Linked DNA regions of Schizosaccharomyces pombe. Changing the gene in region 1 together with any one later gene gives a genetic interaction. Each region holds a gene or a part of one and is shown in the gene's direction. Other genes may lie near its edges.

Evidence for each region.
Region 2: mutations in ccr4 (region 1) and SPOM_SPBC1685.04 together harm fitness less than expected from each alone (positive genetic interaction), as found in Schizosaccharomyces pombe (2 studies listed by BioGRID).
Region 3: mutations in ccr4 (region 1) and cyp4 together harm fitness less than expected from each alone (positive genetic interaction), as found in Schizosaccharomyces pombe (2 studies listed by BioGRID).

The regions. Positions count from the first base shown.
Region 1 is NC_003421.2:636,897-641,441, reverse strand, and holds ccr4 (CCR4-Not complex subunit Ccr4), read left to right. Parts: upstream 1-1,818; 5' UTR 1,819-1,908; coding exon 1,909-3,981; 3' UTR 3,982-4,007; downstream 4,008-4,545. Other genes in the region: taf5 (transcription initiation factor TFIID subunit 5), read left to right, coding at 1-611, 668-836, 886-1,150, 1,201-1,297. UniProt on the Schizosaccharomyces pombe protein: Acts as a catalytic component of the CCR4-NOT core complex, which in the nucleus seems to be a general transcription factor, and in the cytoplasm the major mRNA deadenylase involved in mRNA turnover.
Region 2 is NC_003423.3:500,750-504,702, forward strand, and holds SPOM_SPBC1685.04 (uncharacterized protein), read left to right. Parts: upstream 1-1,914; 5' UTR 1,915-2,123; coding exon 2,124-3,101; 3' UTR 3,102-3,444; downstream 3,445-3,953. Other genes in the region: vma9 (V-type ATPase V0 subunit e), read left to right, coding at 556-647, 936-986, 1,053-1,113.
Region 3 is NC_003423.3:3,683,894-3,687,300, forward strand, and holds cyp4 (cyclophilin family peptidyl-prolyl cis-trans isomerase Cyp4), read left to right. Parts: upstream 1-1,971; 5' UTR 1,972-2,007; coding exon 2,008-2,470; exon of another isoform or gene 2,471-2,563; coding exon 2,564-2,706; 3' UTR 2,707-2,898; downstream 2,899-3,407. Other genes in the region: rnf10 (ubiquitin-protein ligase E3), read left to right, coding at 1-189; autophagy-associated protein Atg8, read right to left, coding at 760-1,035, 1,202-1,257, 1,339-1,372; SPOM_SPBP8B7.26 (uncharacterized protein), read left to right, coding at 3,231-3,315, 3,370-3,407. UniProt on the Schizosaccharomyces pombe protein: PPIases accelerate the folding of proteins. It catalyzes the cis-trans isomerization of proline imidic peptide bonds in oligopeptides.

The DNA.
Region 1 (4,545 bases):
GAAAGCTGCATGAACCTAATGCTGAAGATGCTCCGTCTAGAGATTATATCCCTCTTCCTCCTCATAAAGGTGTTGATATTCTTTCAGAAGTTGAGGCTGTGAAAGATTGGAGTAAAAGATTACATCTTGGACCTAGAGCCTCCCTTCCTAGTGTTTGTATGTACACATTCCATCACACCAATAACAACATGAACTGTGCTGAATTTTCTCCTGACTCCACAATGATCGCCTGTGGTTTTCAAGAAAGTTATATACGGCTATGGTCAATAAAGGCTGACAAAAAATCATTACCTAAGTCAACTTCTGTAGAGGATTCAGATGGCTCAGTACGTTTACTGAGTCATTCTGGTCCTGTTTACGGCACCACATTTTCTCCCGATAATAAATATTTACTATCTTGTTCCGAAGATGCTAGCGCCCGGCTGTGGTCTGTTGACACAAAAACTGCTTTGGTAGCTTACAAGGGACATACTGGCCCGGTTTGGGATGTTGCCTTTGGTCCGTTTGGTCATTACTTCGCTACTGCTTCTCATGACCAGACTGCACAACTTTGGAGCTGTGATCATATATACCCACTTAGAGTTTTTGCTGGGCATTTAAGTGATGTAGACGTATGATTATTATCTTTTTTAAGAAATGTGTTTCCTTATGACTGACTTGTATTTAGTGCGTTACCTTTCATCCAAACTCCGCTTATGTGCTAACTGGATCAAGCGATAAAACATGCAGGCTTTGGGATGTACATAGAGGACATTCTGTTCGTGTTTTTAATGGACATACCCAACCGGTAACTGCTGTTGCGATTGCCCCAGATGGTCATACTATGGCAAGTGCTGGTATGTTATACATTTGTTATTACTAATGATTTTACTAATTTGATTAAAGACAGTGAAGGTCTAATTCACCTTTGGGACATAGGAACAGGAAGGCGTATAAAGACAATGCGAGGTCACAGAGGCAACATATACTCTTTGTCATTTTCTCGCGAATCCACGGTCCTCGTTAGCGGAGGGTCAGATTGTACTGTGAGAGCTTGGGACGTTTTCAAAACTAATTACAACAATCCTGTTTCTTCTTCTCTAACGGGAAGTGTTGTTACACCTTTCTCTGCTAAAACATCCACATTTAATGAAGTCAATTGGTCTACAAGGTATGAGAAAATGTAATGGAATCGATATATTTACTAACCTTCTCAAACAGTCCGGATCAAATGGTAGCTCTTTATACGAAGCAAACCCCTATATTTAATGTCTCCTTTACGCGTCGTAACCTTTGCTTAGCAATAAGCGTTAGTTAGATAAATAAACCTTTTTTGATCTTCAATATGTTTCTTCCCGTCCATACTTTAAGAAATTTGGCATTATATAAAAAAAGATTATAAAAAATTTAATTTAAATATTAAACATTATCTTACTTTACGATAATGAGTCAACAACTAACTGCCTTTTAACAACTTTGAGACATCCATGTATCGGAATCGAAATTAGGCTGAATAATTCATATTTGATGTTCCGGAAAAGCTTTTAATATTATAAACTTCATAAAGGACTTCTGATGATACATTATATATTAAATTTTTCAGTAGCTCCAATATTTACATAGACCATAACAGCGCTAAACATAAGCTAAAATAATTTCATGTTTGGACCCTAAATTATATTATTTAGAAAAAAAATTAATAATATGAATTAATTGAAAGCATTCATATGCAATTATATACCTAAAAAACGATTAACAGGACACTGAGTTTTCGTCTCAAATCTTGGTGGTGAGCTTTCGTATCCCACCTATAAGCTATCACGGGGTTCGACTCTTGCCGTTCACCAACAACCTCACTTTTATTGTATATATAGTGAATGTTGTAAATTAGAATTCATCTCGACTTTGATATTTTGCGAGATACCGTCTATGTTTAATCCTAGGTATACGCAAGGTACAATTTATCCAGGAGCGCACCCGGGGCTGTTGACGCCAGACCATCAACATGCAGCAATATTATCTGTACAGAATTCGCCAGCTTTAGAAAATAGTAATATTTCTGAACATTGGAAACAGCAAATTGCACTTGCAACTCAGTCCAGGTCCTTCAGTTCACCACACCAACGAGCTCATAATGCTGCGGCTTTAGCACGAAGTGGAGGACCTGGGTTTTCGATGAATTACAATGCTCGGACTGGAGCTTTTACCGGAGGCCCTAATGCTGCTGGCTTATCCTCGTTAGGGGGAAAGTACAATACTAGCTCCACTACTACAACATTGACGACCTCAACAACATTAAACACTTCCAGTGGTACTACCTTAAACAGTACGTCAAAAACAACCACTTCTTCTGTTGCGGTTGATGACCAAAAGTCGAAATCTGACTCTAAGAAAGAGAGACGGGATTGGACTTGTTTGGACCTTGGTGGTATTGGTTTGAGAAATGTGAGCACTGATTTATTTAAATTCTCTTTTTTGACTGAATTATACATAAACCATAATAATCTTACCCGATTACCACCTGAAATTGGCAAACTGAAGAATTTGGTTATTTTGGATGCCTCTGGAAACAGCATTAAAACTATTCCACCAGAGCTTGGTTTACTTACTGAGCTTAGAGAAGTCCTATTGTTTGATAATATGATTAGTGTAATACCTGCCGAACTCGGTACCCTTTTCCAATTGAAAATTCTTGGTATTGAAGGTAATCCTCTTCAAGACGTTTACAAGAATCAAATCATGGAAAGTGGTACTGCAGGTTTAATTGCTGCTTTGCGCGATGGTTGCCCTGTTGGCCCTCCTCCTCCTGAGCGTGGATGGGAAAAACTTGTTTCCGATGATGATGATGATGTTAATGACAATGTTTCAACCTCTGTTAGAGATTTAACGGCTGCTGATTCTAACAAGCCCTCTACAACATCTAAGAATCTCAAGTTTACTATTATGAGTTATAATGTGCTTTGTGAACGTTATGCTACATCCACATTGTATGGCTATACTCCTTCATGGGCACTCTCTTGGTCGTATCGCAAAGATTTAATCATGCAAGAATTAGGTGGTTATAATGCTGATATCATTTGTTTGCAAGAAGTTGATGTTGAGAACTATGATACTTTTTTTGCTCCACAAATGAGTTTGAAAGGTTATAAAGGTGTCCACTTCCCGAAAAGTCGCGTACGAACTATGAATGAGGTTGAACGTCGCATCGTCGATGGTTGTGCTACATTTTTCAAAACATCTAAATATGTCATGCACGAAAAGATGGTGATAGAATATAATCAAGCACCATCTCTTCGTAGGCAAGACATTAAACTAACGTCTAACATGTACAACCGTGTTATGACTAAAGATAACATTAGTGTGATTACTCTTCTTGAGAATAAGGAAAATGGATCGCGATTGATCGTTGCAAATTGTCATATTCATTGGGATCCTCAGTTTAGGGATGTCAAGGTTATACAAGTTGCAATGCTCATGGATGAGATTGCACAGGTTGCAACAAAATTCCGTAATATGCCTTCCAAGATTCCTTCTGACCAGTTAAAGGATGAAAGACCTACCTATCCCGAGTATTTAAAGATCCCCATCTTAATTTGTGGAGATTTTAATTCCGTCCAAGGCAGTGGTGTTTATGACTTTTTATCATCTGGTAGCATTAGCCAAAATCATGAAGATTTTATGAATAATGATTACGGAGAATACACTGTTAATGGACGTTCTCATGCATTTAATTTGAAATCTGCATATGGTGAATCTGAAGCTCTCTCCTTCACTAACTATACACCTGGCTTTAAGGGTGCCATTGATCACATTTGGTACACCGGCAATAGCTTGGAGGTAACCGGTTTGTTGAAAGGAGTGGATAAAGATTATCTTTCCGGCGTTGTTGGTTTCCCTAACGCACACTTCCCTAGTGATCATATTTGCTTGCTGGCCGAGTTTAAAGTGAAACAGGAGAAGACACCCTTACCTTCATCAAAGTTTAACAATGATAAAAAATGATTGTTAGTTTTTGTCGTGTTTGTAGATTTTAGAGTGATACTTAGTAGCAAGTAGATGGATTTGATGTATGATTCTGCATTTCGCAAGTACCAGGTATTTGGTTAAGTTTACATAGATATCAAAGCAGTGTAATTTTCCTTGTCGTAATAATTTGAATAGATAAATTGTAAATCATTGAGGTTTCGTTTTTGTTTACGTAGTTATTCGTTTTACTTTTATTGGAAATTAGCATTAACAAGGGGTGAACCGCCACACATCGTACTGATGGTTTGCATTAAAACGTTGATTTTTTTATTTTCATAATAAAAATGAGCTTCGCCATTTCATCAACATTCAACCATCTCTAAAAATCGATTGTGTTGAAGATATCCTTATTTTGCTCAACATAACTTCACAAAAAATTCATAAAATATTTATCTATTTTAAAAAACCAACAAATTACAACGAGCGTAATACTAGAGAAATATAACATCAGTAAACGAAATAATATTGATAAGCAAGACTATGCTATCCTAGACTCAAGCCAAAAGTGCTGAAATTTTAATCATTCATTAATGTTTATAA
Region 2 (3,953 bases), on another chromosome or scaffold:
TTAAGCATGTGGATGTAATTATTGGATGTGTTAGTTTACTCTCTGCATAAGTGCTCGGTGGTTTTATAAACTAGTGAGAAGAATGATTTCCGAGTACTACTTGAAGTTAAGAAAATAATTAATACAATCTCTTTTGAAACTAACCAGTCCATAATAGTATTCAAAGAATCTGGAAAGTACAGAATTTTTGGGAGCCTGACACTGATGCGTTATAGTAAACACGGTAATGTAAATTTGTTAAATATTTAGTTTAACGTAATGGATTGAGGGTTACCATAAATAGAATTCATAAGAAAAAATGGAGGAAGGGTGTCTTTATGATGTCCGCTAGCATTAAAGAGCATTTTTTTATTCAAGGATCGTATTCATATAACTGGAAGGCTATGTTAAGCATTTTTTTAATGCCTTTGTATGATTATTGTTACCTGATTTATGTTTACGTTATCTATGCGTGGTGTCACTAATTTGCAGTATATGTTCATGTGAGACGCACATTCGATAATTTACCATTAACGTGCAAGTTACATTTATTGAAAGTAGGTAATTTGCATTCTAATGGGTGGTCTCGTTGTTTTACTTGTCGGCCTTTTGACGGCCTTAATGAGTGTAGTTTCTTACTATGTCTCGCCCAAGGGAAATAATACTAGGTAAGAAGTTTGCTACTGATTGGAGTGAATCATCTATATATCGAGGTATAGCAATTATGTTCCCATTTAAAGTCTTGTGTTATGATCAGTAGCTTGTTTTTACTTCGTTTCATTTTCGTTTAGAGATATGGAAAAGTATATGTGATTGTCTTTCTTGCAACCAATCAAGGTAGCGCTGTTTAGGCCTTGTCTTCAGCTGCACATGGACAATCTGGAATTGGGATCAGTTGCTTGTATTATATTTTCATACTCCTTCCTTTAACAAAAGTTTTATTAACTCTCAATTAGTACTTGGCAGATGTCATTAATTCTTACTTTTTCTTGTTGCTATTTATTATGGTTAGTGCATTTGTGGTGTTCTTATGCATCCATATTGTTTTTCTTTTTTACTAACATCGTTCTTAGGGCAATTACTTATTTAGCACAGTTGCATCCATTAGAGGCTCCATCTCGAGTTCTTGAGTAATGAAGTTTAGTATAATCATAGTGATTTTTAATGTTTGTACATTCTTCCTCTTTTATTTTACTTATCGTTTAGACTGCAAGCTTTCCAATTAGAATCTACTTTTGAACCTTTTCCTCTTCCTATTTTTTGATACTATTCGTTTCTGATCGTCGGGCTCAACTTTCTAGTCTCTAAAATCCTATTGGTGTTTGTCGATTATTATTACAAATCAAACACGTTTGAGTATTTCTTATTTTTATAATCCATATCTTTAAACGTTTCTTATTTTAATATATATATGGAGTCAGTTAAGTCATGGCTGGAACCTGGCGTTATTTAAAGGTCGGTTCACGTGGATTTCAACATTGCATTTAATCTTTGCGAAAGGATATACCTTCATTATTTCTTTTCTTTGATTTTACTAGATTTATTGGTCTCCCCGTCTTTTGGTTGTCGCTTTTTCTTTTACTCGGATGTGTGTATGAAAGGCGACGTATATTTACGTTATCAAAAGCCTTGCTACAAATATACTGAATCATATAGAAATACAATAAAAAATTGAAATAATAGACACAACAGGATATTCAAAAGTTTTTTTGGTGCCAAAAACTCTAAGATGTTGTAAGTTTAGTTTAATATTTGGACTGAAGTTCATGATAGTAGTGGCGCTCCTAATACGCAATTTTAGTTGACTAAAAAAAATATTTGAGATAGAGAAAGTCTGAATTGTTATTAAAGGTCTACTGGCTTCATAAACACAAGTTCGCGACTATTCAACATTGTTCCACTATAGCACATAGACATTTGCACACACTGATAGTTAAGAAATACATTTTACAGTGTGATTTTGAACGGATTGGTTTCTTGAAAAGATAGGAAGACTGAAAAAATAAAGATTCGTATATAAAAAAAGCGAAAAACTTACACTAGTGATGTTGAATGCGATATAATTTTCTGTTATGAAGAAAAAAGGGTTGAACTTACCAAATTTACGCATTTACTAGATTTTTCGTGTATTATACCTTTTTAAAATGAAACAAGAATATATTCCGCTAGACGAATTCCCAAACAAGTCTAATGAAGGGATGCTGAATGATGAAGGTACCTCTTCTTCTGGCTTATCGACAAGAACGCGTAGCTTAGAGCTTTTTGACAATATGGAAGAAAGTGGCTCCTTTCCAAAAGTGGAAAGGAAAATACAATCGCTTTTGGATGAGCTGGCTGAAGTGTTGTTTCAATCTAAACAGCCCAACGACTTGACCAGGATTCGAAAAGCCATCGCTGAGCAGTTGCAGTTATGGTGTCAAGCTTGTCAAGAAAACGCTGATTTATATAGGAGCCAGCAAAGGAAATTGAAGAGCCGTTGGGACTCGCAGACAGACATTTTATCCCAAATTGAATCGACCAAAGCAAGTCTGGCAGAGGTGCACAAAGCGGAAGAAATATCGAATCTAAAGACAAGCATTACACATTTAGATGAGGAAATTCAAATTTTGCAGGAAAAGTTGGCGATTGTAACGAACCAACGAAACACCCTTGTAAAACGACTCCAGACTTATGATAATCTAGAAAAGAAAAAGGCACTCAGTATGGAAGATCGCCTTTTAACTCTGCAGGAGCAGTATGATGCACATGCTAATGTATCTTCCCTTGAAAAACGGATGGAAGTATTGAAGAAAAGAGAAGATCTTTTGCGACTAATGGTCGGGCAAGCACTTCCAGGAATGCAATTCTTCCAACGTTTGATCCATCAAATCCAAGCTGTCGAAACAAAACTAATCTCAATACTGGGGCCTACTTCTTTATCAGAAGCTGCTTTGCCTCCATTAACTGACGTTCAGCGCACTAGTGTATTATCACTCTTGACCTCGACTCTTCACTCTTTGGAGTCGGCGAGACAGATTGCTGACTCCAATACATGGAAGCCAATCATTGTTTGTTTAGAGCTCGAAATTGTATATTTTGAGAATATGCTTACTGCGATAACCTCGACTCCCGTTTCTTCCTAATAATTTAATTTTCATTCCGTATACTATCAATACAACCTTCTAATATTAAAATATGGTCATTCAATGGCACAATGCATTCCTTGGCGTGTTGACCGACAGCCTTACTACTTTTACCCTGCACGGCTTCAAGATACCTGTTAATTGTGGAGAAATATATATTTCATACATGATTTTACCTCCAGATTTTCAGCCTCATCTAGCACCACATCGTTAAAATCGTATATAATATTTATTTCAGCTGTATTTTCGGCATGATATTTATTTAATAACACCAACTTTGATCATCTTTGATTTGTCTTCTCAAACTCTCTTCTACACAACAAATGACAAAATGTTAAAGTAATGCGAGTCGAGTTCATTAGTGATTCAATTCAAATATGCTATTGAATGCCTATTTCCATACTTAAACTGTCAATCTCCTACCCAAATCAAACACTGTCATAATAAACATCCCTGAATCTAAAGCTACCTTAATAATCTTTGTTTTGTCTTGTTCAACCATCAACCTACTACAAACGAAACAGTTTTCAAAAAGTAACACCATTTTAGTTTTCAAACAATTCTACGCTAATACCACGTACATTCACTTTCGGTTCACATAACCGATTCTGTCAAACATCCTCAGAATGTCGTTTTCCATTTCGAACCCATTCTTTCAGTTTTCCATTTCCATTCAATACGACACAGTCGTATGAAGATGGATTCTAGCTTATTTGCAAAATGTCACGGAACCAAGAAATCCGATTTTGAACAAACGACATTGCGGCTCCTTGTTCGTCGCAATCCTCCGTTTGAGTGAAATTCATCGAAATCACTTCTAAAGCTACGCTGTCTTATTTTTGCCGCACTCGG
Region 3 (3,407 bases), on another chromosome or scaffold:
ACTGCAAAGACTGTTTGGGGAACAAGAGCTCTTGCCAATATTCAAAATGACACCGATGATCAAGACGATCTTGATGGTTGGAAAGTTGACTGGGACAAAGTTGCTCAATTATCTGCACCTTCCAAAAACTCAAAAAACAAAAAAAAGAAGAAATTAGTTTTATTATCAACAGGTGCCGCCCATCGATAAAGATGGAGCATTCTCAGTGATGAAATGCTACTGAAATTTTTGAAATGCAGGAGTGGGCTTTATTTTGAAATATAGTTATAACACTTGTTGCTTGAATTATGAAAGTTTACGATTGACCAATTTTTTGGGGCATGTGAATAGTATTCGCTATTATGACAACCAGTTAATGTAAAAAAGGATAGAATCAGCTGATGATATATATCTACTTATTATTTATCAACATTTTAATATTATTAGAAAATCAAAATCAATTTTTTTAATTGATGGTTTTTATTAATTAACAAGGTAAAATAACTTTGTTGTCAAAGCAAACTAGTCATAAGCGTTCATCACATCTATTGTAAGACAAATCTGAAACATCCTTAAAATCGTGGTGGCTAACCTGAGAATGATATGTATAAGACGCGCGTAAAATAATCATAATGCAAAAGCAAAGAAACTTGAAAGCTAAAAAGCTAGAAATGCAGAGTAAAAAAAACATAAAGAATCATTCAACCATTGTCCACAAACAATTTTGCTGATCACAATTAAAAGAAGGCGGGGCCATCTTAAAACAGGCAAATTGTTGATCTAAAAAGGAAACACTGTTCCAAATGTATTTTCTCCTGAATACGTGATATACAAAAAGCCGTCCTCACTTTTATGCTCTTCGTATATCGTTGACATCAAGGCCGCTGTCGGGGGCAAGATTTCATCAATGAAAATAAAGATGGCCTTCTCAGGAGAAAGTTTTATCCGTTTGCGAATAACATATACAAATTGACCAACTGTAAGGTCAGATGGAACGAGATATTTCTTTTTATCTATTGCAGCAATATCAGATTTATCAACTTTCTCGCAAATAACCTGTTAAGTTAGCAGTTAAGTTTAAAACGTAATTTGTATTTTTGAAAGAAAAAGGTCAGACTTGTAACAATGGATTCACTTTTGATGACAAAAACAATGGGTGTTGTTCAATTCACCACTATTTTGCTCTGAAACCTGTTCTCTTTGACCACCAGACTCTACTTACAGGTATTCGATCGGGATATTTTTCCCGGATTCTTTGAGACTCTGTTTTTCGTTTCTCTGATTATTAATTAGCCTACTAGTTCCAGGTATTCTACAATGCTGTCCAAAAAACAACTTCTATAAGTTTTTGACACATACCAAAAGAAAAGTCGTCCTTGAATTGAGAACGCATGAGAACTCTCAAACTTCTTGCTTGAAGTAGTAACTCCTCTCTTCAATTGCTTCAAAATTCGGTGTTCTTTGTAAACGGTGCGTGAGTTATGTGGTATACGGTCTTGGATAAATAAGCGTACCCTTGGGTAACGTATACAGAGATATGAAGCAATCTTATGATACTATGATAAGTTACCTTATTTCGTAATAAATAAATACTTTACGAATCTTAAGCAGTACACAATCAAAAGGAATTTTTACTACTTCTTTATAGTATGATAGCCATAATTGGTATATACTCAATCCTTGGTACAACAAAAGTCACAACTCTTTTAGGAAGAAAAGCAAGAATGGAAATAAAGACGTTGTGTAAATAAATAATAGCACGCTTAACACGTAAATACCTTCCAAAAAAGGTTAGGAAATAGAATTTTGCAAATAATTACTATTTCTATCTTTCATTAAATAATCAAACCATTAGAAAAATAGTAGTGTTTGATGTAAACAAATAAGCGCTTCTTGAATTATTTGCTTAACATTGTGCTAAAAGTTGCTACAGCAACCAAAATCTAGCGAGTCTTGCTATTAAACCCCACCATAACTATTTATTTATCCTTTACCACACAACGAAGCTTTTAGTTTGTGAAAACAAAAATGAAGTTGTTCTATTTCTCTTTACTTTTTACTCTTTTCTTTGGGCTTATCTCTGCCAACCGTGGCCCCAAAGTTACAGACACAGTGTATTTCGACTTGCAACAAGGTGATGAGTTCCTTGGAAGAGTTACCATTGGATTGTTTGGTAAAACTGTTCCCAAAACAGCCGAAAATTTCCGCGCATTAGCCACCGGAGAAAAGGGATTTGGATATGAAGGATCTATTTTCCATCGCGTTATTCCCAATTTCATGATTCAAGGTGGTGATATTACGAAGGGTGATGGTACTGGTGGAAAATCAATTTATGGCAGCCGTTTTCCTGATGAAAACTTTAAGCTTTCTCACCAACGTCCCGGTTTGCTTAGCATGGCTAACGCTGGACCCGATTCCAATGGATCTCAGTTTTTCATTACTACAGTTAAAACACCTTGGTTAGATGGACACCATGTTGTTTTTGGTGAAGGTAAGAATTCATATTGTAGTTGTATATGTTTTATAAAAGTGACTATTTGTTTTCTTTTTCCTTTTTTTTGTTTGCTAATACTAATTTTATCAGTCCTTTCTGGTTACGATATTGTCAAGAAAATTTCCAAAGCTGAGACTGACAACCGTGATAAGCCTCTTGAAGATGTAAAAATTATCAAATCTGGGCAGTTGTCTCAAGAAAATGTTGAAGATGACGGAACAGATGAATTGTAATCCCTACTTTCTATTTATGAAAGTCATCAACATCTAGTGTTTATAAGATTTACTTGAAAAGCAATGATTTTACATTCTGTTAACATAAACGTTTATCATTGGAAGGATCACTTCTTGTGGTAGTTTGTTTGCATTTTCTGACAGCCATAGTTGTATAACTAATATACGCATAAAGAATGCGATTTTAACAAGTTTTCAATTGAATGAATATAGAACTCTACGTATATTATCCAATTTAGCAAGCGTAATAGCAATGCTGCAATTCTGATAGTAAGTATTGACAACAAACGCGAAGCTTATTAGCTGCTTACTATTTTGTTATGTTTTATCAAAAAGAACTCAAAGACATTATTTTTTCCTATCAGCTGGCTGATATTACTAGCACGTTGTGTAGTTGTTTACCCTATGGGCTCTTAGAAAAGCGGACTTAAGGAATTTCGAGAGTCGGAAGCTGTCCACCGCAAACATTTGGGTAAAATCGGTTTTTGCGTCAATTGTGAGAAATCAATTTCAAACTAATCGTAATGTTTGACTCAACAAAAAAATCACTGCATTCGATGTCGGATTCTGCGAACCGCTTCCAGAATAAGATTACATCGAAATTACCAGGTAAGCATATTTCCTTTGCTTTTTGAGACATTACTAACAAAATGGGATTTATAGGTGAACATGGCGAAGATGCTATGTATGATATTAGATCC